Linked DNA regions of Schizosaccharomyces pombe. The protein of the gene in region 1 interacts with the protein of each later gene in a pairwise test. Each region holds a gene or a part of one and is shown in the gene's direction. Other genes may lie near its edges. The genes, in order: hob3 and gef1.

The links.
Region 2: the proteins of hob3 (region 1) and gef1 interact in binary tests that used the Schizosaccharomyces pombe proteins (3 or more experiments, as listed by UniProt).

The regions. Positions count from the first base shown.
Region 1 is NC_003423.3:1,216,786-1,232,790, reverse strand, and holds hob3 (BAR adaptor protein Hob3), read left to right. Parts: upstream 1-9,585; 5' UTR 9,586-9,594; coding exon 9,595-9,642; exon of another isoform or gene 9,643-9,684; coding exon 9,685-10,431; 3' UTR 10,432-11,047; downstream 11,048-16,005. Other genes in the region: orotate phosphoribosyltransferase Ura5, read right to left, coding at 1,065-1,712; acetylglutamate synthase Arg6, read right to left, coding at 1,998-3,500; GINS complex subunit Psf2, read left to right, coding at 3,764-4,315; nbl1 (borealin N terminal domain-containing protein), read right to left, coding at 4,484-4,625, 4,697-4,865, 4,915-5,029; CCAAT-binding factor complex subunit Php2, read left to right, coding at 5,877-6,881; tsp0 (tspO-like protein), read right to left, coding at 6,796-6,822, 7,350-7,817; pir2 (C2H2-type zinc finger domain-containing protein), read right to left, coding at 11,276-12,902, 12,974-13,004, 13,059-13,166, 13,219-13,282; peroxisomal targeting signal receptor Pex5, read right to left, coding at 13,976-15,772. UniProt on the Schizosaccharomyces pombe protein: Involved in cytokinesis and septation where it has a role in the localization of F-actin.
Region 2 is NC_003424.3:458,211-475,418, reverse strand, and holds gef1 (RhoGEF for Cdc42 (Gef1)), read left to right. Parts: upstream 1-2,428; 5' UTR 2,429-2,519; coding exon 2,520-2,561; intron 2,562-2,616; coding exon 2,617-4,836; 3' UTR 4,837-5,438; downstream 5,439-17,208. Other genes in the region: SPOM_SPAC24H6.08 (uncharacterized protein), read left to right, coding at 722-1,384; SPOM_SPAC24H6.10C (phospho-2-dehydro-3-deoxyheptonate aldolase), read right to left, coding at 5,593-6,699; vsb1 (sulfate transporter), read right to left, coding at 7,244-10,120; NEDD8-activating enzyme uba3, read right to left, coding at 12,146-13,480; SPOM_SPAC24H6.13 (Ca(2+) transporter), read left to right, coding at 15,743-17,208. UniProt on the Schizosaccharomyces pombe protein: Has a role in the control of cell polarity and cytokinesis. Involved in bipolar growth, via modulation of cdc42-shk1-orb6 signaling, and septum formation. Stimulates guanine nucleotide exchange of cdc42.

The DNA.
Region 1 (16,005 bases):
TTTAGTCCGGATTTTTTCAACAGCGAGATCTCAGAAAAATCGAAAAACACTGCTTCTTACTCACCAAAAAAATCCCTAAAATCACAGTAAAGTGCTTCAGGAAATGCGGATCCTTTTTTTGATAAAAAGGAAATTTGCTTGCTTTTTTAAGATCTCACACAAACAGAACTAAATCTTTCACCCTCTCTTATGGTGAGTTAGTGGTAAACGATAAATACTTGAAGGTTACATATTAGTAACTCAATTATTGTACCATTCGATTCCACTATGTTAAACCAATTGTATTACATAAATGATAAAGAATTTCATTGTTCAACTCGAGTTTTTCTAATAAACCATTTTTATTTATAGACTGCAGTGACTACTTATTCAAATTCACATTGAATATGAGAATAAAAACATTCCAAAATTTCTTAACATTTTCTTGTCATAATAAAAAGTTAATCACCAGGCTTCTGTTTAAAGGTTTTACCATTATTTAATATTTGGTATTTCAAACACAGAGCATAAATACCCGTCGCAGAATTGAAAAATAAAATCCTAAATTTTTTATAATTGCCCATTATATGCGTCTTTCGAACGTAAATAATCATCACTAAAAACCAAATCCTACAAATTTTTACAAAAATAATACACAAATACCATTTTGTGAAACATTAATTATCCCTCAACTCAATATTTTGGTAGCTTCATTCCTAACTGTCATCTTGGAAAGATTCGAATAACACAAAAGAAGAAACAAACACAAAAAAAACAGATTCACGGAACTAATCAAAAGATAGATGGATATGTGCAAAACAAAAGCTTAACAAGTAAACCAATTTCCTTCGTCTATTATAGAGAAATTTTTGAATACCGCTAAATGCAATCGCTTTATAGAAAATTCCTTCTAATATGAGTTGTATCTATCACCACAAATATACAGATAAAAAAATTCTATAACATATGTAAATACCAACTAACTTCACTCTCTTTAAAAAAGCAAAGCTAAAAACCAAAAAAGATACTTATCCAATTATTCTCTTTCCTCCTTCCAAATTTTTAAAAGAAACATTACCATAAGCTCATTTGGCTTGGTACTGCTGTCTGTAAGCATCCATTGCCTTTGATTCAGCTGCAGTTAAGTCTGATTTGGTAAAGTCAACAATGTCGTCCAAAGTAAGGATGGAGGAAACGGGTAAGTTAAGCTCCTTCTTCAATCTACCAATGGTACTTTCGTTTACTTCGGGGTCCAGTCGCTCTTGGCGGTCAAGCAAAAGGACGATACCAGCCAATTTTACGTGCTTAGGTTCTAAGAAGGAAATTGCTTCACGAATGGCAGTTCCAGCGGTAATAACATCATCCAAAAGTAAAACCTTTTTACCTTCCATTTCGGCGCCTACAAGGTTACCTCCTTCACCATGGGACTTGGCCTCTTTGCGGTTATAGGCAAATCCATAGCTCTTTCCAGTTTTTTCATAAAGTTTGACGGCCGTTATAGCAGCCAAAGAGATACCCTTATAAGCAGGACCAAATATGACATCAAAATCAACGTTCATAGCGATAATAGTCTCGGCATAGGCTTCTGCAAGAGCGCATAAATCGGCACCATGAGTGAAATTACCAGAATTGAAGAAGTATGGAGATTTTCTGCCTGATTTTAAGGTGAAAGTTCCAAACTTCAAAACATTATGTTCTAAGGCACGACGCAACAACTCAAGTTTATAAGACATGTTTACTACTAGTTTTGTTGATAAACGTTGATACTCACAAAAGAAAAAAGCTAGTATCACCTTTTCTAAGCTCTACATGGGGGTTATGTGGGGGAATAAACAAAAATCATAACTAAAGAAAAATGCAAGTTTGTAGGCAAACTACTCAATCTATAATCTAATGTGCAAAAGAGAATTAATGTCCTATCAAAATGGACTTTTTTCCTTTTATTAAAAAGTTTGACAAGTGCTTTTGAAGAAGCGAAATAATCTTGTCTCTGATAAAGTGCAATCGTTAACTTCCACTCAATTCAACCATGTTGGCTGAATTTTATCAATAACGCTCATATACTGGTTCACTCGATCCAAATTTCTGACATGTGAGTCTCCAGTCCAGAAAAGTTTCCAAGGTGTTTTGCTTGACTTTAAGGAGCCTACACTTCTTTCAAAGTACCATTTATTGACTGGATTAGTCAGGCGAGAGCGCCATATCAACTCTTTGGGAAATAAATCAGTCATAACATTAAACATAACATCAGATATTGCTGCTGAACCCTGGGCTCCTTGTGAGACGGCAAGCTTATCAAGATAAGGGACCTTTTCATTCGTTGTTCCATCTGGTTGTTCATAAGTTACAATGGCTGTCCCTAAATAGTCCCCTGCAATAATGACTGCAGCTAGCGAATTCTTCAACCTATCTAAATATGCGTCCATATCAAGCGTTCGCTTAAAGGAGTCATTAATTAAAACCCAAAGCCTTTCCCACGAAACGGAGCCATCAGTTAGACATTTCGGACCTAGGAATGTATATACCGGTACACCGCTACGCAAAACAGTTGTTTTCGTAATAGGAGATCGATCGCGCGGCAAGGAACATGAAATAATAGAGCGATCCGTCAAAACATTGTGAATTAACGGATTTTTGTCTAAGACAGGATTTGTAAGCATAGCATCCTCAGGCGTAGTGATTAGAGCAGAGGCATCATCCGGTAACATTTTCAAACAGCGTCTTACCAAAATCAAATTTTTTCTATGATAAGGTGGAAGTGTTTTCGCTAACTCGTCAAACTCTTGAGCCAGATTGATGAGAACATGACTAGAACCAGTTTGTCGTTTAGAACATGGCATGCCACCATTTTTATCAAGAATGACGATTCGGTCTACCCAAAACCCAAAGTTTGGCTTGTGTAACGAGTAAGTTAAACCAGCAAGAACCTCATTACCATCAATTGGAACCTCAATGACGTTGGGCATTAAAATCGAGCTTGGCACTATGACCGTGTAAAGTGAAGACAGCGCTTGAAAAATACCTTGCACATTCTCAACACTAGGGCCTTCAGGGCCCAATTGACATACAGAGGAGTAGCTAGGACGGGTTAACACTCCCGCTTTCGAAAAAATTTCCGAAACTCGAATGACTCTATTTTGCTGTTGCTGTAGCTCCTCAAAGATTGAAAGTTTACGTTTTTTCGCTACGACCGTACCATTCTCCAAATATTTAAAAGGAGATGTCATGCCAATTGGATTGGAAGTGGGAACAATCACTGATTGAATCCCTAAACGTGCCAGGCTATTTATACTTCGACCAATTCCATATAGGGTATTATCACTTAAAGAATCCACATCATCAATTTTGGTAATAGAAATTCTGTTTAAAAACGAACTCGATATTGGCTGAGCGAAGGATTTCTTGTTGGGAGAGCCATCCTTAAGCGAAGAATGTTTTTGCAAAAACCCTTTCGTAGACCTACGAGATTGGACTGATTTCAATATCCAAATAAGGTCTTGTGACAATGAAGGTTTTTGCATTCAAAATTATTACCTTAAAACGAGAAATATAAAAATTTGACAATCATATACCGATGACCTAAGAGCAAGATGTGATTTAGATGAGGGTGACTATTATGAGTCCGAAACCCACCACACAAAAAATTATGCTGTAAGGAATAACAACCAATAAATGCTATAAACGAACTCCAAAATAGAAAAACAAAACTTTAAATAAAAAAAGACATTAAGCCCAAAAACGGTACTATTGATAGGCATTTTTGTACTGTTCGTTGGTGATAGAGATGGCCTTACCAAGGGAACTTGAAATTTCATTCTCACCAGAGGAAATGGAATTTTTAGCTGGCAATGAGTATATTAACATTGTTCCTTCAGAAACAATGGATCAATTGCCGCTAGTTAGCGCGACGATTCCCATTATGAAGCCTCCCAAAAAATGTCGGGTTCCTTTATGGTTGGCTCTTGAGCTAAAAAAGCAAAATTTGGCAAGGATTGTACCTCCGGAATGGATGGAAATAGGCAAACTTGAAAACATACGAGATGATGAATTGGAAAACGAGACATTCTCAGAGTTGCCTTTTCGGTGGCTAGAAACGGCGCATTTATTGTTAAACTTCTGTGCTGATGATATCGAGGATGTTGAGGATATCAGGAGGATTTTGCTGGACATTCGAGAAGCTAGACAAAGTAAAGCAAGAACGGGATTGGAAGCCATTAATGAAGTTCAACTAACTTTGGATAATTTGGGTGCAATGGAAATTAACGAAATACGTCCTATATTTCGAGAGGTGATGGACAGAATGCGCAAAATTGTTCAAGTTTCCCAAGAAGAATGAGTTACTCATCAAAAGTAAAGTGGGAAATAAATGGACTTCACATGAGAATATTTCGGTATCGTGTGGATGATGTACTTTAAAAATAATGATAATGAATCCTACGAAGTGTTTATGAATACCAACTTTGTAGTAGTGAAATTTTATCACAGTAAGCAGTAGATGAGGGTTTCACACTTGCGACTTTGAACTCGATTTGGAAACGGTGGTGCTTTTTGATGAAGAAGAAGAGGAGGATGCCACCGTTTTTGTAGGTTGTCTAGCGGACTTTTGGGAGGAAAGCTCGTCTAGATTATAAAATTCTTTTATTTTTCTGAAATAGTAATTAGCAATTAGTGTTTCCAGTAGTACGTATGGCAAAGTAAAATTTGATATTACACTTACGTTCTCCACGGTGTGGCAGACACATTGCAGGAAAGATGGTTCTTTAGATCGCGCAGATGCATATTTCGTTGAGCGCGAGGAATAGCGGCGATACGCATTTCTCCTCGCATACGAATTGTTGAAGCAAGTAAACTAGCGTTTGAGCGCAAACGTCGTACTTTATCGGAAACTGAAAAATACCCGTTAACACTTTACTACTTCCAGGTACAAAAACTTACGTTCAAATGCTAAATTTTCAAGTATATCGTTCTTGTGTTCTTGGAGAATTCGCTGTCGTACTTGACGATGTTTCGTCTCTCCAAGCTCTTCCACTCTTTTACGCTTGTTCATCATTAAGCATTATAAATTATCAAAAAACAAAACAGATGTTTGCTAACAGCTGATCAAAAGACGGTACTTCTGGGTGCGCTGAAAAGGTGGTGGGAATAAGAGTTGTTGTATAAACAATAAATCTTCAACTAATATGTAAGTAACATCGTTACCTAATACTCAATATGTAAACAAACGTTAGAAAGGAGAGGATTGCACAAAAAAGCGTACCCAAAAGATATTTTATAAATTGAAAGAAGAATAATGACCTAGAATTAGAAAAAAGCAGCAAGTTTACAAAATAAAAGCGTTGAAACACATCACTTTAAAAGGTACATAAGAATTGATGATGCTTACTTCTAAGTAAATTATTAATAATATCAAATAAAAAAATATTGTACGAGGTAAAAGTCTCCCTCTTCAACTACATCGCATACAACATTGAAAACTGTTTAAAAAAGATATTTGGTATAACGTGTTCCAGTGCCATACGCTACAATGCAACCTCTGTTGTATTATATTTCGACTGTTAGCTTTTTTTTAACCCAATTCATAAGAAAATAGTTATGCCATTCAGTTAGTGACATTATCATATGTGTACATAAGATTATATATTCGTTTGTGACAAAATGCACTGCAAGCCGTCCTCACTATTTGCAATCCTGGAAAGATCGACAATAATCGTTATACACATTTACCGATATGTAAAGAATAGCTGCTTACCATTGGTAGTCGCTAGCGCCTGCGGAGTTACAAACCACCTAAACCAACCAACCGACCAACGAGACGAATATACCGTAACGAGCAGAATTTTGATTCCTGAGATCCTCCCAATAGTTAGAGCAATTGAAATAAGAATAGTCATTTTCCAATGAATCCATATGAGCCGGTCGAGGGGCTTTACGTGAATGCAAAGCAATACCATCGAATTTTGAAACGTAGAGAAGCTCGCGCAAAGTTAGAAGAGAGATTGCGTGGTGTGCAGACTACGAAAAAACCATATTTACATGAATCAAGGCATAAGCATGCTATGCGACGACCTCGTGGTCCTGGTGGCCGATTCTTGACTGCTGACAAAGTATCAAAATTGAGAGCGCAGGAAGCTGCAGAGGCAGCTGCTAATGGAGGAAGTACAGGAGACGATGTTAATGCCACAAATGCCAATGATGCCACCGTGCCTGCAACCGTTTCTTCTGAAGTGACTCACACGTCTGAAGGATATGCGGATAGCAATGATTCAAGACCTAGCTCTATCTCCAACTCGTCTGAGTCTCCAGCTCCTATCAATTCTGCCACAGCATCTATGTCTCCTGCTAACAATACTTCTGGAAACAACATTACTTCTCCAAATGTCAGAGGCGAGCTAGACATGAGTGGTAATATTGCCATGTCGGGTGGGCCCACTAATACCGCTTCCACCTCGGGGCCAGTGCCTCATGATATGACAGTGCTCCCACAGACCGACTCAAACACATCGAATCTTATGTCCAGTGGTTCTCAACTAGGCAGTTTTGCTACAGCTTCTACCAATGGCAACAACTCTACTACTACTACTACTTCGTCAGCTGCTCATCCAGGGTCATTTCATAAAGGTACTAATGATTATTCATCTACACTAGCTGGAAATGAGCATAGTGCTTTTCCTGGTCTGGATGTGTATCACGATGATAGCGTGTCTGCAGGTGCAGCTTTTATACCACACAATCCAATGGATTCGATTGATCACCTTGATGTCAATGATCCTACAGCCACAGGTCTCCCTGTACTACCAGCGAGCGATATCGATCCTCTTAATTTAACAGGCAATACCCAAGATTCTATGATAATTGGTCAGCAAACATATCCCTCACACGGTTCTTCAGGAACCATGAAGTAGTCAACTAATTAAGGCTGAGAGAGATACAAAACAATCACAAGACTGTGTATAGGTTGTCGACCTACCGACAAAGTTCAATTTAGGACTGCAATGTTGTTGGTGATTTTTTGAGAAAGAAACAAGTCGAAATCACTCAGTCATGGCCTTTTTGCATATCATATTATACTCATTATTTTTTTAGTCACCGATTTATTATCCATCAATTTGTTTTGACTTTTTTCGTTCTGCCCAATTTTTTTTTTTTATTTAACTCATATCCCTCCTGCTGTCTTTTTCTTATTCCAATAATATTTTTTCTCCGACCTGATTCTTCTGTTATTGTTTTTTTAGTGTTTTTTTTTCTGTTTCTTTCAAACTTTGATCGTGCAGCTTAAGCTCTTTCTTAAATGCAACAATACATTCTACTGTCTCATGTCATGCTTTTGACTCTCTTGATCTACATCAACCTTAATTAGTGACATTACTTACCAAGTAGCCAGCGTATCCCAACCAGGCTAAATAAGGAATTAACCATTTGGAAGCCGTTGGTGCAAGAGGCCACCATGTCTTTGCAAGCCAACCAACAAGTCCCGTCAAAATGCCGAGATCGGCAAGAGCCAATTTTGGTTTTGCTAATCCGTAGAACAAGGGCATCCAAGCAAAGTTAGCGGCCAACTGTGCAATGTATAAAATGGATCCATTTCGAGAGGCATTCGTAATCATCAAAGGGTCAGCCTTGTACGCCAAATGGGATGCATATCCCATTGTTAGGTATAGTAGTGTCCATGCTGGTCCAAAGGCAGATGCAGGGGGGTGGAACTTTGGTTGCTTTTTGTTCTCATAATCCTTTCTTGGCTTGTAGGAATTCCCAATGAACCAGCCGCAGGCGACTGGAACGAGAGAAGCGGACCACCAATTTTTGGAGATGCTAGTGAATACTTGATAGTTCAAATCCATCACACTTAATAATATCGTTTACTGTTGATTAGCGAAATCGGGAAAAAAAAATTCCACGAATGTAAAGAGTACTAACAACGACTGCTACTAAAAAACCATAAGTATTTCGAATCTTAATGCAGCTCGTTTACAAACAGCAGAGATAATGTCGAGATACAAAAGGTCTTTCAAACCATGCTAAGCAAATAGACATGGAGTAGCTAGAGTTAAGTTTGATAATTAAAACTGACATACATTAAACTAGAAATTTGGAGAAGAGTTGTTGAAACTTCTAATTGAATTGAAGATTAGTAAAATTGGACCATAAAGCTTAACCATCTTTCAATCTTCCATACATTTTAAAAACGGGCACAGTATCGATATGAGAGAAATACGATACTAAACTAAAATAAAAGGAAATACTTAATTGTAGTTTGATCTTGGAAGCTACTCGAATGTATAATTCACCATATTTATAACCTCGTCTATTACGTCACAGAAGGGAAGGAGGAGCGAGGTATTGGGGTATAATACGTGTTCATACTGCGTAAGGTGGTGGTAGATGTGTCTCGCTAAAAAGTGTTTATAAGGAGTTTTCCATAAGATAATATTTTCAGTACAACTAAATTTTTTATATTATTAATATTATATTATAAAATTATGTATATCTATTAGTAGCAGCGCTTGTTTTCTGTAATAGAATATATTTGGGCTGGTCAAATGCGGTTAATTATCATCACACAGATGAGATTTATGGGCAAATTTAGTTATAAAATTAGATAAGACAACAAAGAGAGAAGAAAGGTTTATTTCGGTGCTTTTGTTTCTTACTTTCAGAAGAATCTTTCTCTTGGGCATTATCTGGATGTCTTACTGCCCACAGAACAAACAAACTGTCATTGAATGGCTGAGTTCTTGTTTCAATATCTAATATCGCTATACAATAGCTCTCAAAGTAATGCACCACTACTACAACTTAAGTTCTTCACTTTTTGAGTAAGGATGCAAACTATGAGACCGGGTTTTTTTAGCTCAAATGTCGCTGAAAAGCGTTTTCTTTATAGTTTTATCATGAATGATCTCATATATTGATAAGTAGCAATCGTGTCTTTCCATGTCGAAGCCTCAAAACATTATATCCATATAATGCAAAACCATTTATTCCACCACTTCTAATGAAATTTATAAGTTGGTAAAATGTCCGTATTTCAAATTGCTTCTCCACAATATCTTCCATTTATGAGCAAACGATATTACCTCTATATTGTCAAGTTAAAATGTTTACATTGATATATTATATTAAACTATAACATAACTATATTACCTTATAAGGCGATTTCTGCTGGATGCAGTTAGTGAACAAGAATTATCTGAGGATAGACCTCTAATTGCAGTCAGAGATTTACTACAGATGATTATACAAGAAAAATTTAGATATATTTTTTAAGCGATGTAATTTATTGATAGTGACATGAAAGTAAGCCAACCCTCGAAACCCAAATTTACCACCATTATGCTCTTGCTCTATCAATTAAACACAAAATTAACGACACGCTTTTCATCCTTATCTTTTTATAATTGCATTGTGAAATAAACTATCATTATTCTATTTAACGCAATGATAAACTTCGCAATCAGGCTTTACGTTATGGCTTTGCTTCCGTGAATTGTTCCCTACGCGAATCCTGCTGAATCCACTAAAAGATCCAATGCAGCTTAGCTAGCGAACATTAGCGCAGCGATCAACTGACATAAGATATCTGGGTATGCCGACGCTTCTCTTTTCCATATCACAAAAATGAGTTGGCATGGATTCAAAAAGGCCGTTAACCGAGCGGGTACCTCGGTATGTATTTGAGTGTTGAAGAATTGTCTAACATTGTGGTAGGTTATGATGAAGACGGGTCATGTTGAGCGAACGGTGGATCGGGAATTTGAAACAGAGGAAAGACGTTATAGAACTATGGAATCAGCTGCAAAGAAGCTTCAAAAAGAAGCCAAAGGTTATCTCGATGCTTTGAGAGCCATGACTGCGTCTCAAACTAGAATCGCTAACACAATCGATGCATTTTACGGTGATGCTGGATCGAAGGATGGTGTCAGTGCATACTATCGACAAGTCGTCGAAGACTTGGACGCCGATACCGTAAAAGAGTTGGACGGTCCTTTCCGGACAACGGTGTTGGATCCCATCTCAAGGTTCTGCAGTTACTTTCCCGATATTAATGCCGCTATCACGAAGCGTAATCACAAATTACTTGATCATGATGCTATGAGGGCTAAGGTTCAAAAACTGGTCGACAAGCCTTCCAACGACACTACTAAGCTTCCCCGTACCGAGAAAGAAGCAGCCATGGCGAAGGAGGTCTACGAGACACTCAATAATCAACTGGTCAGTGAGCTTCCGCAACTAATTGCTCTTCGTGTGCCTTATTTGGACCCTAGCTTTGAAGCCCTTGTCAAAATTCAGCTCCGCTTTTGTAGGGAGGGATATGAGAAAATGGCTCAAGTTCAGCAATACTTTGACAACTCTGTACGCGAAGACTATTCCAATGGTTTGTTGGATGATAAAGTTGAACAAGTTTTACAGAGTATGCGGGATCTTTCCATCGCCGGTTTGAACAACAGTCAGTAGACATCGGTTTTTTAAACACGATTGTATGTGTGCATAGCGCTATCACTCTGTTTTCTCTTTCCTTTTCTCCTCCGAAATAATTGTTACTACACGTAACCATGATCTCTTATCCCTCAATACTTTTTGTTTAACATATCCTTTCTCTTTTACTACTTTATTACCATCTTATCTTGTTTATCTGAAGTGGTTCACGGAATGTTTTCAATTTATTCAATTTTTTGTGATACATAAATATTTTCCATACTTATCTATCCTCGAGTATTTTCTATTGGTGTTACTGGAATTGAAGGGAAAGCCAGCACATATTTATTAAAGACTCAACTGTGAAGCTTCTACATCCTTTCAGTTTCGTAACGTTTCCTTTATAATTTTTTAATTGGGAATAGTTATCAAATTATCAGATAAACAAATTGGTTTTCCAATATTGTCTGTCGACCCAGCGATTCATCTACTAAACTGTGCTTATTTTCTATCTCGTACCAAGTTTTGTTCTAATAAATAACTATTGTTAAGTAAGTTTAGACCAAATCTTAAAATATAATAATTAGAAAAAAAAATGCTTTTGTTGACTTACGAATTATTAATTTGAATTGTAATTTATTAATTTTCCAAACAATAGCTATCTTGTAAGCTGTAAGTCAAGTTGGAAGTGGGTTTATTTCTATCTGTGCAGCGTTCGATGTTTGATTTTCGAACATGGACTTAAGCGTTCAATTTTACAATAGCTGTGAATGTAGATTATCGCTACTTTAAAATCTAAAATATAGTATGGAGCTACAACTGCTAGTAACGTCTATACAGGAAATGATATTAACCAAAAATCTTTCTGACTAAGAACATAAATTTAGTAATCTAATTCTGGAACCTCCTGGTTAGGCGCATCCAAATCTTGATAAGTTCTATAGAATTCCCGTCTGTGGATCATGGGTTCTTGCCTCGAATAAGATTTTTGTGATGATGCTCCAGAAGTTATCTCCTCGTCATTTCGTCGACTATAGCTTGTTGTTGGAAATGTATAGTTTGCGTTAATATTTCTGAAACCAACGTAGGGCTTGTTTAAAATCTGTAAGGATACATACGACGTGCTTACCACTTTGGGATCCATAGCCCTACATGGGTCAAGCACATATCCATAGAGACATATAGCCACCTTTTTAATGTGATCCAACCAATCCTTATGCTTTTTATTTATATGCTTTCTGACAAACTCAGGTCCTAAGAAAAGCTTCGCGCATGTTCCGACATGACACCTATATTTTTGTTCATCTTCTTTCATAATAACAGAGTCCAATTCGTTATTAATAAAATCTTCAACGGGTAATGCCCCTTTTGCTTTAATATCCACATTTTCAGGCTCAAGAAGGCAAGCAAAATTGTTTTCCAAATCTGACAACCAAATATTTTCTTCTTGACCGACTTCTTTGGATGGATTAAACTTTTTCCGCGAGTAACCTGCAGGACTATCCTGCAGTAAAGCAATTAAACTTTCGTACTCTTTACTAGTCCAGAAATCAAAAGTAGCCACTTGGCGAAGATACTCGGCGTACAGATCACTTAAACGAATGTCATGAAAATTCGTCGGCTTATCATCGTCATCTTTCATAGATGCATGTGTTTTCAATCGATCTTCGATACGTTGTGCAGCATCATTTGGTAAACTATACTTCGTACTAGCCCGATCTATAAAACGGATTAGTTTTTCTAGCAAATTTTTACATGTCTGCTCAGAAGAAGCGATTTCAAAAATAGGTATGGGATGCGTGTGAGTAGGAATTTTTGGATTTTCAGATTCAATAGTAAAATTTGAATCCAATTGAATCCCATCCACCGCTTCTTTAGCTCCATCCATATTTGTTCCTGCTTTGAAATGAACCCAAAGTGAGCGTTCATCATTCTTGATTAAATTAATAGTAGAAAGGGAAAAATGTTGTACGAACGAAATACCATCGAGTGCATTATGAATTTGCGCAACCGAGATGTTGGGCAAAACATGACTGACCAATAGTGTATTTTCCATTGCATCGTTTCGAGAGTCTTGGTTCCATTTGGAAAGTTGCGGGTCGTTAGAAGGAAGAATTGAGTCATCTGTATCATTATCAGGTATTGACGGCTTTTCGATTACATCCTCAGCGGTTGGAAGCTGAAAATCATCATAATAACCGGCGTCTAATCTGTCCATGAATTTATCGTATAACGCCCGGCGATAAGATTTCTCATTTTCAGACACTTCAAGGACTCTTCCTTGTGACTCGTCCACCCAATAGCTGTCTTCAAACCAAGCTTCGTCACAATGGCTCTCAACAAAACTTCTTGCGGTCCTAGCGTATAGATCCTGTTTATAATTGTTGTAAGTTCCATGAAGCGAGTTGTATAAGTCTTCAGTTGTTGCGGATATATGGTTTTCCTTGCTATACCACCGAATAAACCGTTCATAAGAAACCGCATTTGTTTGAGTATATGGATCAATTAAACTAGTCTCCTTGTTAGAAAACTTTGGTTTTTCACTCACATCGAGTAGAGTATTTATTTAGTCGTAACTTACGGTTTAGTAAATGTAGGGTAAGGTCCAGAAGCTAGACGTATTGTAGTTAATAGGTCAATTCATAGAATTTTATATTTATTCTTACCTCTTGTTCTATCATCATAGTAATTACCACGCTTTCGTAGAGGAGACCGTTCTCGATGATACGCAGACTGTTCACCAGGGGGGCTCTGTGAACGTCTTTGACTCCGTTCTATGCAAAAAAAGGATGAGTATTTCTATCAAACTAAACATTAACAACTTACCAGGAGAGCGTTCTCTTTTCCAACGACTGTACTCTACTTCACTTTCTTGATGGACCTCACTCATATTTTGACACTGTTCCCCTTCTATAAATACCAGCAATCGGGATTAATTTATTAAAAAACTAATGATTTCAATTGGGTCAAAATTGGTACTCAACCTGCTTAGTTGAAGAATGTTCTTACGAGAGAGAAATATCCATACAGCACTTTATGCTGGTACACTAAGTTTCATTATTCAAAATATAGAAAATTGTCAAATACTTTATTATACGCATCAGTATATCTAAATAAACTGAGATTATAAAAGCAAATGATTAAACAAAAAAGTGAGACTTCGAATTTTATGCGAATGCTATTGAACAATTAATACTAAACATTGTCTCATTATCGTCAATAAATACAATGTTGGATTACTTAAAAAACTGTGCTTACAAAGAGCTTAGAAGCACTCTCACAAAAGTAAACAATAACATCTGTTTTCAAATCACTGAAGATCTAATTTCCATTGTATAAACGGTCAAGAAAGGTACAACTTGCATACCAATAGTAACTTTGGTAGCATAGAGTAAGATTTCTTTTACTTTTGTTCTCTGCTTCAGATATTGAAGCGTAAGTTATCTCATTTCTTGTGCAACAAAAAAAAAGTAGCTTTTGCACGTCCTCTAAAAGATATGCCTCAGACAAAAAATTTAAAAAAAAAAACAACCAAATAAATAATAACATGAAAAATGAATTAAGCACGTTTGCTTTAAGAGATTTATTCGAGCTCAACACCGGGCCAACCTTGGAGATCACTTAACTGGGCTCGTATATAACTAGTGTTTGCTCCAGGATAGGACTGAGAGGCAAGATCAGTACTTTGGAATCCAATCAAAAATACTTTGCGAAGCATTTCCCAAAGTTCCTCATTTGATTCGCAGCTCTCCATTGAGGTAGAACTGTTTTGTATAATATCAATTGCAGCAAGTAGATGTTTTGCAGCATCTTCAAAGTATCCTAAATTGATGTTGGAAACAGCCATGTTTGAGCGAACTCGAACATACTGGGGCTGTAGAGATACTGCCCGATTATAGGAAGAAACAGCTTCAGTATTTTTTTCTGCATTTGTTAAAGCAGCACCAAGCTTATTCCACAATATTTCGTTACTTGGTTCGTCTTGAAGAGCTTGCCGAAAACAATCTGCAGAACGCTCATACTCCTTCAACATATACATAATTATTCCTAATCCAGCTTGTACCTTGGAGGAACGCTTCTTAGCAAGTGATAACTCATAAGCTACATCCAAGAAATACATCTGCATTTTCAAGAGATCGTTAGCAGAATCTTTCTCTTCAAACCTTTCGTTTATCTTTGCAAACCTGTTTCGGTATTGGGGAAAACTGTTGACTATCCAGTCTTCTAAGCAAACCAATGCCTGAACATTTAGAGACTGATTAACATAAGACACAGCAAGATCCATCATTAAGTCAAGATTGGTTGAATCCAATTTGACAGCTTCAAGTAGGGCTTCAACAACCCGCGATTCGTTTCCCAATAGAGTATGAATGCGACCTAACCATTTCCAGGCCTCGAAGTGCTGTGGATTCTCTTTCACAGATTGTTCCAATAACACAGCTGCTTTCGAGATAGATCCTCCATTTTTTATTAAATTCATGGCTTCAACAAATGGATCTATTCCGTTTAGCTCTTTCACAACCTCTGAAGATTCATCTTGGTTCTGTGAATATACATCTTCCGTTTGTAAAGAGTTTTCAACAACGTTATCAGTATCGCTATGCTGGAAAATTTGAGGATCTATGTTTTTATTATGAGCTAAATTATCATTAGCAAAGCTATTCACAGACGAAGTGTAAGGATCGTCAGAAATATTGTTTGACTTTAAAAAATCTTCCCATTGTTTCTGGTATTCCTCTAAACTTGCGGGCTCTAGCCCGGCGTTTTTCAATTGCTTTTGATGCTCTTCCCATAGCTCCTCAATTGATTTACTTCCAGTAGCATCCTTTTCCTTCTCTAATTTATTGGAGATTTGAGAAGCTTCCTCAAATTTCTTAGCCAACTCAGTTTCGTCAATAGCTAAAGAACTTTGTAAGGGTATTTCAGTATTTGAAGATAAATTTAGTCCAGCGGAACCAAAAAAAGATTGTTTTAAAGGTTGGTTTAAGTTTCGAAAACGGTCGTTTTCAGATGAATTGAGAAATACTTCAGAGAATTCTGATGTCCAAGCCGACTTACTATTCTGCTGCTGAAGAGAAGAAAAAGAATGTACCCAATTTTCTTTCGAGCCTCCACGAGTAGTTGTGCCGGTATGATTTCCAGTTTTTAAGCTAACTGGGTTCTTAACTACATTACCTAAAGGACTATTGTTTCCTTGGAGATTTTTGAAAGATGTGAATTGATCCTCAGACAGCGTTTGCAAAGGAGCGTAAGTACGACTTTGAGACTTGGTTAAATGTTTTCGATATTGAGCTGAAGGTGTTGAATTATTGACAACAGCTGTGGAAGTCAATTTCTTAAGAGGATTAGATAGCGTTGAACATCCTGCTTCAACAGACATTTTTGAAGAAAGTAGACTATAGCCAATATAAAGGCTCTCGACCAAAAGGAAATAGTTTTTTAAGTAGGTTGTAAGAAAATTAATATCAAAGAATGAAAAATTTCGCAACTTGATTGAATTTGCGATGTGTTTTAAAAACCAAAAATATGAAAACAAAAAAGCGGAAGAAGTAACGATGCAACTAACCAAAAAACAAAAATTGATCGCACCAATGATTGTTACAAAACTTGCGT
Region 2 (17,208 bases), on another chromosome or scaffold:
AAAGAAGTTTGTTTGATTGCATAGTGGTTAATTTTGTTTTGTGAAATTTTAATTATTGTACTTAATGTGTAGATTATAATTATGTAAGATTGTAGTGTCAGTTTATTTCATATGAGTAATATGATGAATTTGTTGTTTGTTTTGTAAAAAAGCTGCTTCAGGTAATAAACGGATTTTAAATAGAAGGTCGTTGATTAAGTTTTTCAGGCTTTAGATGGTAGTTGAGCTTCTACGGATATTAAATGTTAATTACTTCTATCGCTCGAATGGATAATTATTCAAACATCGGAGCCATTGCAATATGCTGACCTTTATTATTTGAAATCCATTATTGTATTAATTATGATATTCCCGTACGTTGCACATTCAGCGCTATTGTAAAAACTGAGTAGGTAATTTTTACTACACCAAAATGTCGATATTATTCGTCAGCTACGAACTTTGATGCTCTAAGTACTTATATTTATCCTTATTATAATAACCTTACCATTTTTTCCTACTACCGTTGTTTTTAATAGTTCCGCTGCTGAAATCACCTTATTGAACATGTGATATATGGCAATGTTGCATTCGTCTCTTCTTATCCACTACCACAAACCTTCTTGAACTGCTATAAAGGAATACACCAGCCAGTTTCTTTGGTCGAGATAGAAAGATTCTTATTTATTTCGTTCGTTTAAACAAACTAAACATAGAACAACATTATTTGCGTCAACACAACATGACTTCACATCAAACTGGGAAAATTGAGGTGCACTGGAACGATCCTTCTTCTGGTATCTTTTTAAGTCAAACTCAACGAACGTCTTCCACATCAAGTTTAAAGAAATCGGCTTCGAGTAGACGTTTGGTTTATGGTGATGACATGCTGGCACCCAAACCGTTAGCTGGTCAAGTACTTAGTAAATCACCACTTCCTCCTTTTTCACCTTCAAAAATTATGAACAGGAGTATATCTGTTCCTCCCACGAATATCTCTGTTCCTCAAATTAGCAGTAATCCTCTCAACTTGATGAAGAAAAGCAGTGACAATGATATCTTTACCACGTTTAACGATACAACAAACGATTGTATGAACGAAGCTTCTTGTGAAGATGTCAGGCACTCCCTATTGCAAATTATAGAAAGTAAATCAAATCTTAGTGATTCTGTTCATAAGATGTTGGGTGAACGAGTCAAAACGAATTTACTATTACAAGGTCAACTAGAAAACATGGAAGGCTTTTGGCTACAAAAATTATCGCAAACATGTCGCTTGGCGTTGACAGGAAACATTAGTGAGGCGAAGGCATTTATTGTAGAAATTATGTGTGCCGGTGTTGTAACTAATTGTGTGCGCTGGTGTCCAGTTTTGAAGACTCTAATTGAAAACCTTGCTATCTAGCTTTACATGTTGTTATATATTTTCTAAATCTTCCTGCTGCAAGTTATATGACACTAATGCTCTTTTTTTCTTAATTCTATCATTTTTAATGATGTTACTCATTTGCATTTTAACAAACCATTTATAAGCATGATTAGCTATGTCGGACGCTAACGAAGTTACAAGTTAAAGGATTTAATAACACTTCCTTTTTGAAATTAGAAGAAATCTTAATAGATATAATGGAAGTTTCCATTTTTTTTACAATATATATTTTTCTTATGGCCTGTCGATTAATAGTATTTTTAGTTTAATTTACTGAAACATTATATTTGTTTTTAGTGAACACCGTAGAATATTTAGGAATTTTGACTAGGTCTGTTTATCATACACACTTAGTATTAGATATCGTGATTTTTTGAATATATGAAAAAAAGTACTACAGACAGAAAATGCAGCGTATTAGCCTCAAGTAATTATTAAAAAAAATAAAAATTTTCTTTTAAAATTATACAGTGTTTACCAAAGTTATGTAAGACAATCAACTGCCGCTTCTCTCTCATTTCTGTTTATATACATCTTTAATGTTTATTACTTATTAAAAAAAAAAAAAAAAAAAAAAAAAAAACAAAGCAAATTACGTGCATTACCAAGAAAACAAAACCGCTCTAAATATTTAAGCTAATTAAAACAATGAAATAACAAATTTATTAACTTGTAACCGTAACAGTGGAATTTATTTTAACTGCTGTCATTTCTAGAATTTCATAAAGGGAGACATGAATAAATTTAACCTTATATTACAAATTGTAAATACGTAAATGTTTATCACAAAATCGAATACTCAAGTCATATTACTATGTACCTGTGCAAGCAACCATTTGTAAACCAAGTACAAAGGTAAACTGCCTCTGTCCGCGGTTGGCGCTCAAAAAGCTGAGCCAAGCCTATTTTTGGCAAACTATTTTTCGTGGGTGATTACGTTATGCATTGGTAATGAAGATAAGGAAGTGGAAGGTATTGAAAGTGGATTAAGAAGAAGTTGGCGCCAAATCTCCAAAACCTGTGCTTTACCAACAACGTTACCTAATAAAATTCATGTAAACAAAATTTCCAAAATTGTCATTCATTTTATTGTTCTCCAAATGTTTTCAATATGGAGACTTTAAAAGCAGATCTTTCGGATATGTCCGATTCCGTATGTCCTTATACTTGATTTGAATGTGTGTATATGTGTTAACAATGTTGATCAGCCTGAGTACTTTGAAACCTTGGCAAACAGGGATTTACCAAGATTGCCTGGAACAAGCAAGCTTCATCGAGCTGCATGTATTAAACGAAAATCTATCAATTTAAGCCTTCCTTCTAACAGTTATTCGCTTTCTTACCGACAATCAGACGACACTGATGGCGATGTTTCAGAATCACAGAGTGAATACAGGTTGAGTAGTGGAAGGAGGTCTCGAGCAAGCTTTGCTCGTGCTTTACAAGATCCCCAAACTCCAAACACTCCTCCCGTATCGTCTCAGCACCGAAGATTCTTTTCGGAGGGCTCCTTCAATTTGCCAAACTCCAACATGAGCCACTCATTAAATGGGGATTCTACAGCCTCTAATAGTTCTACTTTAACCCCTAATCGTATTTATGGGGACCGCAATCGTCAAGATTATGCTCAGTCTAGCCGATATACTTTGCCTTCGTTGCCTAGTTCCCCATCATATAACTGTCCTACAACACTTCGAAAAATACATACAAACACGAGTAGCAATGGAACTTCACGAAGAGTTAGCGGCCTAGGGTCTTTTATGGCACAGAATTCCTCTGAAACTAGCAGTAACAGGACTTCGGCGTATCTACCTGGTAGCTCTACGGATGAACAAGAAAAGCGTTCCAGTGTGACTTTGGCAAGTATGCCTTCCTCTCATTCGTCTACAGCGTCCCTCCTTTCACCTCTTGATACTACTTCTTTTTCTACTAAGTTGGACTCTACTATTTTGGCCTTGGAAACTGATGAGTCTCTCAGCCGAACAATTTCGTATGCCACTACTTCTTTACCGAGCACACCAGGTAAGCGTTTATCAAAGGAATCTCTTGCTATGTCTGAAGCCAGTTCTATCAATCCAGAATATAAGCGTATTAAAAAGCGTGCAAATTTGATTAAAGAGCTGGTTACTACTGAAGCTGCCTATTTAAACGATCTCATTGCGATTCAACAAAGTTATGGCTTGCGGGTCAAAGAATGCAGTGCATTGAATCCAGTTGACGCCCAAACAGTTTTTGGCGATATAGAGTCTTTATTAACTTTTACTGTGGAATTCCATAGTCGACTTTATCAAGCTGGTGAAGGCTCCTGGCGTGTAAACTTGGATACCCAGCTTATAGATCCTCTTCCTTGCAATTTAGGTCTTATTTTTTTAGAAAGCCTTTCTGAAATCGGTCAAATTTATACTGGTTATTGCAACCGTCAAGATTCGGTTTTCAAAATTATCACTAAATGGAGAGAGAAACCTGCAACTGCATCCTGGATTATGGAGGGTGATAAAATAGTTCAAAAATACACGAACGCCTGGGATTTGGGTAGTTTAATAATTAAACCTTTACAGCGCTTACTCAAGTACCCCCTATTATTGCAAAAAATCATTGATGTTACTCCTGAAAGTAGTTCTGAGCGCCCAGATTTGGTCCTTTCTTATCAACTATTACAGGAGTTAATATCTGGTATAAACCAGAAGCAGAAGCCTTCTCATAAGCGTGGGTCGTTAAGTGCTTCTCATAAACGAGACGCTGCTTGGAGTTTACTCTATAAAGCAACATCGAATAAATCTAGGCCCACCACTACATCTACTGAGTTAAAAACTGATGCTCGATTGAATTTTCAACGCCAAGTGCTTCAAGATTTTCGACAACGATTCGCTATATTAAAAGCCTTACATGCTACATTGGAAACGTGGTACGTTACTGTACATCGTGGATTTTCGGTTTTTGAAAAGGTTTTAGCAGAGCTTGAAGGGCTTAGTGCTTTAGAGCCCGAAGACAAGCCGGTAGATACGTGGCGTAAGTATCATTTACTTGCGCACATGATGACTGCTAACCTTCCTTCTCAAATACAAACGTCTTTAAATTCTTCTATCCTTAACCCAATCACAAATATCCTACGAGTGATTCAAAAAGTTATTCAGTTCATTATCAGCGCTGAATTTGTGATTCCTGCTCAAAAGCTTGAGGCAATTTCTACTCTTGTTGAGAAGGAATTTCACAGTGTTGTTTATCATTTTATTGGTATTCAACGCTCTCTCTATGAAAACTACGCTCAAGGTTTCTTGTTTCTTATCCCTCAAGACATGAGGGATAGCATCTTAGAAGAAACGCAAGATTATGCAGAGTTAGTTCGAGCCTTTGAACCCATGCATTATGATGACGAGGTATTGCTGGAGGAATTAATGAAAAGTGTCTCTTTAGCTGCGAGGGTTTAAGAGCAACTTCTTTAGTCGAATATTTTTTATCTGTTCTATATATATACACATTTAGATATACTGCATTCATGTTACTTGAATGATGAAAACGTTTCTCTGGACCATGGTTTTTTGCAGCTTCCATGTATTTAACATCACAATTACATTTATTTAACCTAATATCTGCGTTTGTCTGATTACAATTCGTTTAGGTTCTTTTAACGGTCTTTTTTTGTCTATCACAGAGGCCTGTTAAGTTTAGTTTCAAATTAGGATTCTAAACGCTTTTACGCCTTCCTTTTATGCATCTCATTATTTTTGTCTGCTCAAGTCGAGCTATTAATTATTGTCTTTTCACTTTTTTTTTTTAAACTAGGAACGTTTTGGCTTTTCTGCTGTTATGCCATTTTATTTGTTCATACGCTTCCACTTTTCATTTATATGCTTTAATAATGTATATAATATTTGACTTTCACTTTAACTATGTTTTATGTTTAAAATATGTAATTAGGTTTTGATTGAATTAATTTTGTTCGTCGTTATTTATCCTAGTTGACTAACAAAAACAGGTCAAATTCTTACATTCGTAGTAAAACCAAAACGTAAATAAAAATACTTACGATGAAACAGTCTGGAACCATCCGATAAAGTGCAATGATAAGTACGATAAATAACCTTTTAAAAGTCACACTGTTAATTACGGCAAATACAAATTTATTATACAAGAAACCAAAAAATTTATTTTTATAAAACTGTCTCAATAACCTTCATTATAGGTTAATGAGAACGACGAGAACGGACGGCAGCAGCCAACTGTTCAAAAACGGCGGTAGTGTCGTCCCAACCAATGCAAGCATCGGTGACACTGACTCCATATTTCATACTTGACAAATCATCCTCAGGTATAGCTTGCTTACCTTCGTTAAGGTGAGATTCGATCATGACACCAGTAATTGCTTTCTGACCGTTTGCCACCTGCTCAGCAATACAAGCAGCAACCTTGGGTTGATTCTTATGGTTTTTAGATGAGTTTCCATGAGAACAGTCGATCATGATACTAGGTAGCTTGTTGCATTCTTCGAGTTTAGCCTTGGCACCAGCCACTGAATCAGCATCGAAGTTAGTCCCACTTTTACCACCACGCAAAATAATGTGTGTATCAGGGTTACCTGTAGTAGTAACAATGGCTACAACACCCTGCTTTGTGACAGACAAGAAATGATGAGGGTTGGCAGAAGAATTCATAGCATCTATAGCAATACCAATGTTACCGTCAGTAGCATTCTTAAAACCTATTGGAAAAGAAAGCCCTGAAGCAAGTTCTCGATGCAATTGGGACTCAGTGGTACGAGCACCAATAGCGCCCCAGCAAATTAGATCAGCTAAATATTGGGGACTTATAGTGTCCAGCATCTCTGACGCTATACCGACACCAGTTTCCAGAAGCTCCAGAAAAATGCGTCGAGCGACACGAATACCCTTATTAATGTTATAAGATCCATCCAAATCGGGATCATTAATCAACCCTTTCCATCCAACAGTTGTACGAGGCTTTTCAAGATAGGCGCGCATAATAATATGCAAGTCCTTCTTGTGCTTAATAGCCTCCTTTTGCAAGCGAATGGCATACTCCTTGGCGGCAACAGGATCGTGTAAAGAACAGGGTCCAACGATTAGAAGAAGTCTATCATCACGTCCCGCAATGATATCGGCGGCTTGGCGTCTTTGATCCGACACAAAAGCAAGTGTTTCATCAGAGGCTGCTAATTCTGATTGAATTAAAGCAGGTGAAATTACTGGATCATAGCCTTTGATACGACTATCTTCAGTTTTACAACGTGAAAAAACACTGTCGCCAGGAAGAAGAGGAGTGTGCTTGTCCATCTCTTAATGATTTTCTAACTTGTAGAAGACAAGCCATTAGTATAATGTAGTTCTCAAGACATCTGTAATAAAATTTTTTAACGAGATCAATTTTCGCTACTTTAGATTACGAGTTACAAACTACTGCGCTGTCATAAGTCTTGGACATTATATTTCCAACTATCAATAGAAACTGGTAAACAATATCCTTTTGTAAGCATGTATTATTAAAATGAATGCTTCAATTTAACATTTCGAAGTCTTTTCAAAGTATTAAAGTAAGTATAAACTATTCCTGCTTAACAAAACGACTATCATGAACAAATGCAAAAAAAAAAAAGCATAAGAACGATAACTTTTATTATTAGAAGATAAATTTTATTACCCTAATAAACAAAATAAATTGATTAGGCAATTAGGGATTGACAAAAGATATCAAGCGTCGAGTATGTTTTAACAAAAAAACAATTTCAATAATTAAATGACAAGCCTCTTCAGGTGTTATTTTTATGCTTTTAAATGACCCAAAATGCAGAATTATTGTTTTGATAAATTGGGAACAATTTTATCGATACAAATTTAGAGCAAAATTGGTAAATACATTAAATTTGTCTCGAGTCATTTTCAAAGTTAAATATAACATTTCATTTTCAATGACTTCAGCCTTGTCAGAAGATTTCAACATAGTCTCCCATCCTTCTCGGTCAAGAATCCATACAGCAGAATCTAATTCAGCTACAACTGTGGCATTATAGCATGTCTTACTGAAGAATGGAAGTTCTCCAACAACGCACAAACATGTGATATTTTCAGATAAGCTTTCTCTATCCATTTGGTACGAAGCCTTAACCATCCCAGTTTCCAAAATAACAAGTTTTGAAGGTGTATCACCTTTTCTCCATAATAAGTCTCCTTTTCTCAAGAACGCCTTTTTAAAGAATGGACAGAGCCCAAGCCAAAAATCTTCTCGCTTAGTGGTAATCTCTCCAAACACTTGCATAAGTAATGGGAAAGGTTGTTCGTATTTGGCGTACTTTTCGAATTTCGATAACTCCTTTGTTTCAGCTTTGACCGATGACATAGCAACTTGCCTTAGCAAATCGTGTCTGGGTGATGGTGAAAAGGTTTCAGCCATTGAAATGTTTTGTTTGTGTTTTCCGGGCACAGCTAAAGTATGTGAATACCCTGCCTTGTGTAAAAGTTTAGTGCGATACACGTCGTAGTCATCTAATAACATGTTTTCACAGTATTCCAATGAAGAGTTGACATCTTCAAAGACCTGACAACCGCAATTATCATCGCCGCCAAAGCACATAGTAGTCAATGTTTTGAAGGAAGACCGAGTCTCATCCAACCCACAGACGCATAGCTGTACATTCATAGTCGCTAACATACGACGAATGCGTAGAAATGCTTGGACGACACTAAAATCTGCTCCATTAACAAGACTAAAATCGATAATAAGGAATCTAAGCGGATTATTTGAGACATTCAGCTCCTCAATCAATCCAGCAATGTTTTTCTCAACACCGTTGATAGTACCGAAGAATAAGAAACCAGAGAGTTTACACACTTGGATTTGTCTTCCAATTTCATTTAAGAATCGTTGTTGATTCATAGGACGACGTACCGTAGAACGAACAATACCACCTGAATAAATTCCACGTAAAGCGGAACGGCTTGAAGCCTGAATTACAAAGAAAACACATGCCATAATGATGCCAATAACAATACCAACAACGAAATCCACAACAGTCATGGTGAAAACAATTGCACAAATAGTAAAATATTCGATTTTAGTGGTTATACCAATGGGATCCCATAAAGATTCTTTTAGAAGTTCAATACCGAGTAAATAAATTAGGCACCCGACAGTCCAAACAGGGATATAGGCAATAATTCCAGGACCTATAACTAAAAGGGCTACAGTTGCCAAAGCTAGCATAATACCTGCCAAGCGATTGTTACCTCCAGATCGAATAAACATTAAAGAATTCGTATATGTCATGTAATTTTGAATGCTGCCTACAGCGCCAGATAATGTATTGCTGACTCCATGAGCAATTAGTTCTTTGTCAGTGTCTACAAAGTCGAGCCCAAGTGAAATAGCTAGCGCTGGAACGTTTATAGGAACATGCAAAATTCCAAAAAATGTTAAAGCACACATTTCAGGAACAGTGGCTAACAATGCGCTCCAATCAGTATCACGTAAACTAAACAAGCTATAAAAATGATACCAAGGTACGTTAGTCTCAGTTGAAGAGAAAACCCATCCGGTCTCACGTAAATACTCTAGACTCATGCCTGGTATTGCCCAAACTAAAACGTAAAAGATAGCCGGGGCAATAACAAAAAACGAAGGAATGAGGAATGGATGCGGCCACCTCTGTTGAGCAAATTCCAAAGCGCTTGAGAGAAAAAGAGGAATTGACCATTTTGCGAACGTCATAGGCTGAAAAAGAGCAGATAGGGAAGCCCAATTAAATGAAACACTTCCTTCTAACCTAGAAGACACTTCAACGGCCGTAAGAACAAGAAAGCTTCCAACACCACCTATACAACCAAGCAAGATATGTCTAGGAAAAAACTCAATAAGCCTACCAAGTCGGAGGATGCCAAGAATAAAAAACACCAATCCAGTAAGGATACTGGATAAACAATACGCCAAAATTGTAGTTGCAATAACGGACTTTGGGTTGTCTTCACCAACACGATTCAGGATGGTGAAAGCGATCTGATGGAAAAATGGAATTACCTCAATCATCTCTGAGCCCACACTTCCTTTAAAAAAGGAGCCACCAAGAGAATATACTAATTGTGATACAACACAACTTACGTAGTAAATAGCAAGGCCATCGGCCCCCAAATTTTTGAAAAGAGGGTCGGAGATTGGGAATAAAATAAGGCCATAAGAGAGAGCATCCAAAATATTAAGGAGTAATCCAATGATGACAGCAGGTATATTAAGGATAAATAAGATGGGACCTTTATCATCGAAGAAGAATTGATAGATCTTGCTTAGCGAAATGCGACCTCTCAGTTTTTTAGAGGGAGCGTTCAGTGACTGGAAAGGCAGTACCTGATTCTGAGCAGGTGGCAGTTGAGAAGAATGTTCTTCACGTTCCGGAAGCAAAGGTCTTGTCTCATTGATTTCAGAGGGGCGATAATTAAAGTCATTGCGAGAAGTGGAGGCTAGAGAATGTGCACGTTGGTACGAGCTTATAGACATATAGTCATAATTGGAAACATCATCGTTCGTTTCTGGAGAATTTGAAGGAAGAGTTTCGGGATCCACTTCGACAGAAGCCAACCGAGCTGACAGAAGATGAATGTCATTAGTATCTCTAAAGCTTTGACTTAGGAACGAAGAGTCTGGGACCGACCCGTTGTCAATACTAGGATAAAGCAAACTTCTTTTCTGATTAAGGCTATGGGTGGGCATGGATTATTAATTTTTTTAAAGTCTTCAAAAGTAATAAATATGAGTTTTTTTAAGGGACACCCAACGAATAAGATGAGTGAGAAAATATGGGGTAGGCGATTTTTTTTAAAAAAAATAAAAATAAAAAACAGACAAGACTTTGAAGGTAGAAAAGTTTGTTTAACAATCAATTAAATTAAAAGCATTAGAGGGAAAACACAGTGAGAATAAAAGGGCCCAGTTAAGCGATGAAATGAAACTGTAAACTTTTCTGTATTTAAATAGCTATGGAAATGTATTAAAACCAAGTACAAAAGCAAGCTGAAAGATCTTAAACCTCAAAAGGACAACGTTGGTAAGGAATGAAGGATGAATCAAGAATATACAAAAAATGTACGTCTTAAAGACACTTTTTCACTTGCAACTTCCAATACAGCCTAGAATGTAAGACGATAACAGTACTTCCAATACTCGCAAATACTTTGCTAAAGATACCTTATAAATGTCAAACAAATGCAATTATGAGGTAGAAAGTAACGGTAAAATCACACCAAAAGTTGAGATTTTACAATAAATACAAGAGGATCACCAATCTCAAGCAACCGTTAAAGCTTTCCAGAGATAATTCCCAGGGGTCAATGATTTGCCCGAATTAATTGATACTTTGGTAAATTGGCACTATCGTTCAATTAATGCAATGAAGAAAAGCACCCTGATCTCCTCAATTCAAGCAGAGAATGGTGAATGTTTAAGAAAGGCGTGCAGATGGCGGGTGTGTTGTGACAAAAAAAGCTCGCTTCTTACATGCTTCGGTATCTGCAGTAATATATATATATATATATTTATTTATTTAACAGATTCAACCAAATACAAGCTGTTCCGGACTGATATTTTTTTTTTCTCCTAATACTCCTATCAATAAAGTAATGTCTATAATTGCAGGCGGATCAGTGAAATAATTGTTTTTCTAGTGAGCCATTCTATTGATAGCGGTAAATCCCCAGTGAGTATCAGCAGCAACAAATCCCTCTCTACGTTATCATAAGCAACAATTTTAGTGTCATAAATGCGAAAAGTTGATAATAAACCATGCGGTTTTTCTCGTCTCCGAGATTGGGATTCCATTCATGGAAAGTCGATGTCAACCGGCTCTTAGTAGTAAGAAAAGCGTCAATAATGTATGTCCACGGTCAAATATCCGTTGAGAGCAAAATCATGTTTTTCTACTGTATACCTACGTAAACGAATAAAATAATTACAAAAATGAAAATTTTAATTTATTTATCGATTTTTTTTTTTTTTGGGAAAAAGACTTATTGCTTTGTTTCGAACGATTTTTAATTTCTATTTATTTGAAAATGTAATAACTTGTTTTATTTAGGCGGATTTAATAGCTGCTGAGCAAATACTAATTCTGTTGATGTTATTGCTAAATGATATCGCTTGTTTTATTCCGATGAAAATTTTTGAAAATTCGGTCGTTAAAAGTCATGTTTTTGCAACATGAATCAAAATAATTGTTTATGGAAAAGTAATGTCGCAAATGCCTAAACAAAGGGCAGTGCATGTTTTTATCACTCAATGACAATGCTCGTAGCAATAAAATTAATAGCATAAAAAAAGGCAAATAAAATTAACTTAAAGCATTTGATTTACTTTCTATTTTGCAATATACTTTGCACATTGCATGCTTATATATGCTAAATACCTAACTGTATGCATACGTTTCGTGTTTGTTGTCTGTTGTAGATTTGTAATTTAGAGTTGAATAACTTTGATTTGGTTTAATTGTTTCTTTTTTTAAAATTAAATAAGATCTTTTCAACTTATATATTTTTTTTGAGATGTCGTTAAACTGAAGACATTGAAACAAAGTTGAAATGACATAACTATAAATAAGCAAGGAATTATAGTAAGGAGCGTGAAGCAGATTCTCTATCTCTTTAGTGATATCTCTTTTCAATTTATAAGTATATTGAAATGCAGCGAAACTGCTATTCTACACAAAAATATCCACAGTCTATTAGCGATTGATAAACATCAAATCTAGCATTCTCTCAACTGAACAGACAAACTTGTAGAAAGATTTTTATCAGTAATTACAAGGTTCACATCAACCGACGTAATACTTAATATAGGTTGAGATAAATTTTTAGATGTCGCAACTTGAAGAGCTGGAGGTGAAGCCAAGTACAGAGGGGTTCCTGCAGCTGTTGAAACCGAAGGATTTTGTAGATTATAAGATTTAGAATAATGATTTAAAATATCCTTTAAAGTAACGGTAGATGAGGCTGAAATATCATAGACTTCAGACAATACGCCGCAAACAGGACAATCTGATCTCTTTTCCAAATTAAATGTATATGTATACGCTCCATCTTCACCGACATACATCATGTAATTATCCAAAAACGGATTGCTTTCCGTCAAAATTTTTAATGCTTCGTTACAACAGCTCGCGGCAATTATGGCATTTGTCGACGCAACCGCTGGTATGATACGCTTTACGATTCCTTGCACGAAAAAACGATTGATTGAGGAAGAGGGTATTTGAAATTTATTGGCACGTTCGATAGAACGTTTTACGAGCCAGTCAATATGTCGGATATTATCTGGTTCAAAATTGGAATTTTTTCCATCCAGCGGTTCAAAAACTTCTTGCTTAGAAAAACTATCAACTGAAGCATTAAGAAAAACTCGAGGCCATTCGAGTAAATATGCCCATTCGACGCAATGCTCCGGCAATCGAGGAGTATTCGCCAATGTACATATGGGATACGAAATCTTAGGCGTAAGCATGTCTAATGAACATTCATAGCAACTTGTTATCGTTGGAATGATTACTCGGGCTTGACCCTTAAGGCCCTCTGAGCCGCCATCGACCAACGGTATAAGATCTCCTGTCTTAGCAATGGCCACGAGAGTTGAATTGATCCACCGTCGAGCTTCTACTGAATCAAGGCCACATATAATAAGTTTAAACTCCTTATAGAATTCAATTGTTTTGTCTTGAATTTTCCCATAAAAAGGTGTTACTACCGTAGAAGGGATTCGTTTCATAATCATTGATGCGGCAACGTTGGCTTTCGGCTCATCAATGTTGCTTTCATTAAATAGAAATTGTCGATTCAAATTTGTAATGTCAATAGTATCCATGTCGATTACGCTTAAATCTCGAAATCCAGATAATGCTAAATCCTTTAAAATCTCGCATCCTAGACCACCAGCACCAATAATTAAGATTTTAGAAGAAAAGGCAGACTTAAGAGTTTCTTCAGGGTTTTCTGGAGCATCCAAGTTGAAAGGCCCTGGTTTTTTGAGACTTTGGATCCATCCAGAATGCCTGTGACTACCAGCTTTACATACGTCTGAGGAGGGCATCTCCTACAAAAAAATAATCGTTTTTTGAAGTATTTCTTAAAATTTCTGAGTCAAGAATTTGTATTCTCTATTAATGTCAACGAAATGCGTTGGAGGTTGGCTTTGTTCCCAATATTCGTTACATGTAAACAGAAAAGGAATTTGTGTATGAAAATACTCCAATGCTGTCAGGAAATATGGCTACTCATTTAATAAGAGGATAATGAAATGGAGTATGAAAGTTGGAAGATACTTTTTAACATGTAATAATGTGATATAGGTGTAAGTAACAGTCCTACCGACACACGCAGAACAGAAGAGTAACTGATTTCACTTCGTAATGACAATACTAGGTTACCAAAGCAGAATTAGTTGAATAAACGTCTTTTTTCATTTTATTTGAAATTGGCTTTTGTATTGGCATAAATTGACTAAGAATAAAAAGCTGATAGAAAAAATGGATATACTAACACCCCAACGCAAAAGCTCCATCCCACAAATGAGTTTGCATAGATTAATACTTGCTCTACAAATGCGTTGGATAATCTGATATTATTAATAAACTATTTGCGCATAGTTTTTGAAATTATTCAGGGCGAACTGGGTTGATTAATTTACGCAAACGTATACATTCCAAGAACGCATTTGAGCAAATGCAACGAATACGTAGCAAAAGAGACGTAAGTTATATTGGAGGAGTCTCGTTCTCAACTCATCTTCAGTTTACCTATATACTGGTGTTGTTTACAGTATTGCGTCTATATTGTAAAACGACAATACTCATCATTTTCTAGTATGGTTAAGTAATAGTCGAGAACAAAAGCACACGAGAACAGAGGAATGTCCGTCACATCAAGAAATCAAGTATTAATGAAAATGTTTCATCCAAGCAACCGATGGTTAAAATAGCATGAATAAACAAAAATCACCTTTTGCTTGAATAATTTTGTACATTTCTTTTTTATATAATTGACACTTAAACGTGTAGTTTAAATATTTCTATTTACATTTCTGCTGCATACAATATAGCTCGAAAATGTTGGTTTACATGTAAGTGCGAAACTATGACACATTTGAATAGAAAGCGAAGAAAAAAACCTTAAACCTAGAAAACTTGCAGGTAGAAAATGATTGCTCACATACGTATGTGATTACATATACTACAAGCATAGAATATTAAATTCTAAATTCCTTTTTTTTTTTACTTACACCATGCTCTCTCATATCATTATTACCTACTAAGTATATGAGGCTGTGTAAAGCCAGCTGTCATTTTCGTTGACATGATGTGCAATTTGGTTTTTCTTTATTGGTGAAATTTATGAAATCCGAGATTGACCTTTACAACACTTTAGCGCGTTCAATAACTGGCTGGAAATGCTTTATTCTGCGTGCGTACAAGATAGGGCAGCGAAATTTTTTTGGTGAAAAGTCCGGTAAAGACACTCGCTGTTGCTTAACGATGTCGTTTAACATGTTCCAATGTGTAAATATTACACTCCCGACTAAGTCGATGGTGGCTTTTTGTGTGACATGAAACCGAGTTAGCGAATGATTGTCACATAAGTGAAAGTCCGTGTTTTATGAAATTATTATCTCAATTTGAATTATATCACTAACACTTGTACTTCACTATGTCCTTAACAACCAGCAAGAATTGCATGAGTTCGTTATTGTGCGAAAGAAGGATGATTTCGTTTTTCTCTCTTTTGCTAGTGACTAACTATGTTTATCCTTTCCTAAATGAATCCTTTTAACGTTATCATAATTTTGCTTCGGTTCTTATTTTACCTGGGTGTGGGATCTGCCTGTTTTACAATAGCAAAGTGACATGTATGCGTCGCAGTTTCAATATTTGTTTACATCTGAAATTGCGAGACGCAAATTCACGAGATTGGACAGTGTTAAGGGAGAATAGGTGAAAAATGCTGGTAATATCTAATTCTGGCTTTGCATTTGCCAGCGCAATATCGCCAATGTAAACAGAACCTCAAGGCTTTTTAATTGGAGATGAGCATTTACTATTAAAAGTCCATGCACCATCACTTGCATAATTTTCTTTCGCCCACTACCTTCTAAGTCATTAGGATTTTTTCTTTTCATTGTTTTAATTGCTTTATTAAACAACAAAGAAGGTTTTCTACTGGGGGTTTGGATCATTCTTTTAAAACTTCCGGTGTTGTGTGTATCTTTCACAAATCTACCCAACTCAACATCGCACCATTCTCTCATTTTTCTTTCTCCATCTGCTGATCGTGTCAAGCGCAACACTCTTTTGACAGTATGTCCGACAGCAGCAGTTCTTCTACGTCGGCGTTCGTATCATCGTTAGTCTTCAATTTTGCTATCTTTTGCGCCTTCATCGGTCTTTTTTTATGTTTGCGTCCTCGCGAGAAACACGTTTACCAACCTAGATGTATTATAGATACTCAACCAAAAGAAGAGAAACCAGAGCCTTCCCCCTCTAGCCCTTTTGGTTTGTTTGCTTACGTTGTGAAACGCTCTGAGACATATCTTATCCAATACGCTGGTGTGGATGGTTATTTTTTTATTCGCTATCTCTTCACATTTGGTGCCCTTTGTATCCTAGGCTGTTTAGTTCTTTTCCCCATCCTCCTTCCTGTAAACGCAACAAACGGTGTGGGTGAAAAGGGATTTGATATTCTTTCATTCTCAAACGTCAAAAATCATAATCGATTTTATGCCCATGTTTTTCTCTCTTGGTTGTTTTTCGGTTTCACCATTTTCATAATATATCGTGAGCTTCGCTATTATGTTATTTTTCGACATGCCATGCAATCTTCAGGTCTTTATAACAATCTTCCTTCTTCCTCTACGATGTTGCTGACTGAGCTTCCAAACTCAGTTTTAAACGATGAGGAAACTCTTCATGAGCTTTTTCCAAACGCTTCTGAGTTTACATGCGTCCGTGATCTCAAGAAGCTGGAAAAAAAGGTCAAGAAACGCAGTGACCTTGGAAACAAGTATGAGAGTACTCTTAACAGCCTTATTAATAAGTCTGTTAAAAAACATAATAAGCTTGTCAAAAAGCATAAGCCACTTCCTTCAACCTTGGATTATACCGCTTACGTGAAGAAGCGTCCAACTCATCGCCTTAAATTCTTGATTGGAAAAAAGGTTGATACTATTGACTACTGTAGAGACACGATCGCTGAATTGGATGAGGTTGTCGATAAATTACAAACTTCACTCGAGGAGCGCAAAAAAGTTGGTTCTGTGTTTATCAGATTCCGTAGTCAAACGGACTTGCAAACTGCTTATCAGGCCTTCCTTTACTCAAAAAAGTTTAGAAAATACCGTTTCGGTCGTGCTTTGGTCGGCATTGCTCCAGAAGATATCGTTTGGTCCAATCTTGACCTTTCTATGTACACCAGAAGAGGCAAAAAGACTATTTCAAATACTATTCTTACTCTTATGATTATTTTCTGGGCATTTCCAGTTGCAGTAGTCGGTTGTATATCCAACGTTAACTATCTTATTGAAAAGGTTCATTTCTTGAAATTTATCGACCATATGCCTCCAAAATTGCTTGGTATCATTACAGGAATTCTCCCCTCTGTTGCTCTCTCCATTTTGATGTCGCTTGTTCCACCGTTTATCAAGTTTTTAGGAAAGTTTGGCGGCGCTCTTACCGTTCAAGAGATTGAAAATTATTGTCAAAACTGGTATTACGCATTTCAGGTCGTTCAAGTCTTTTTGGTAACTACAATGACATCGGCTGCTACGTC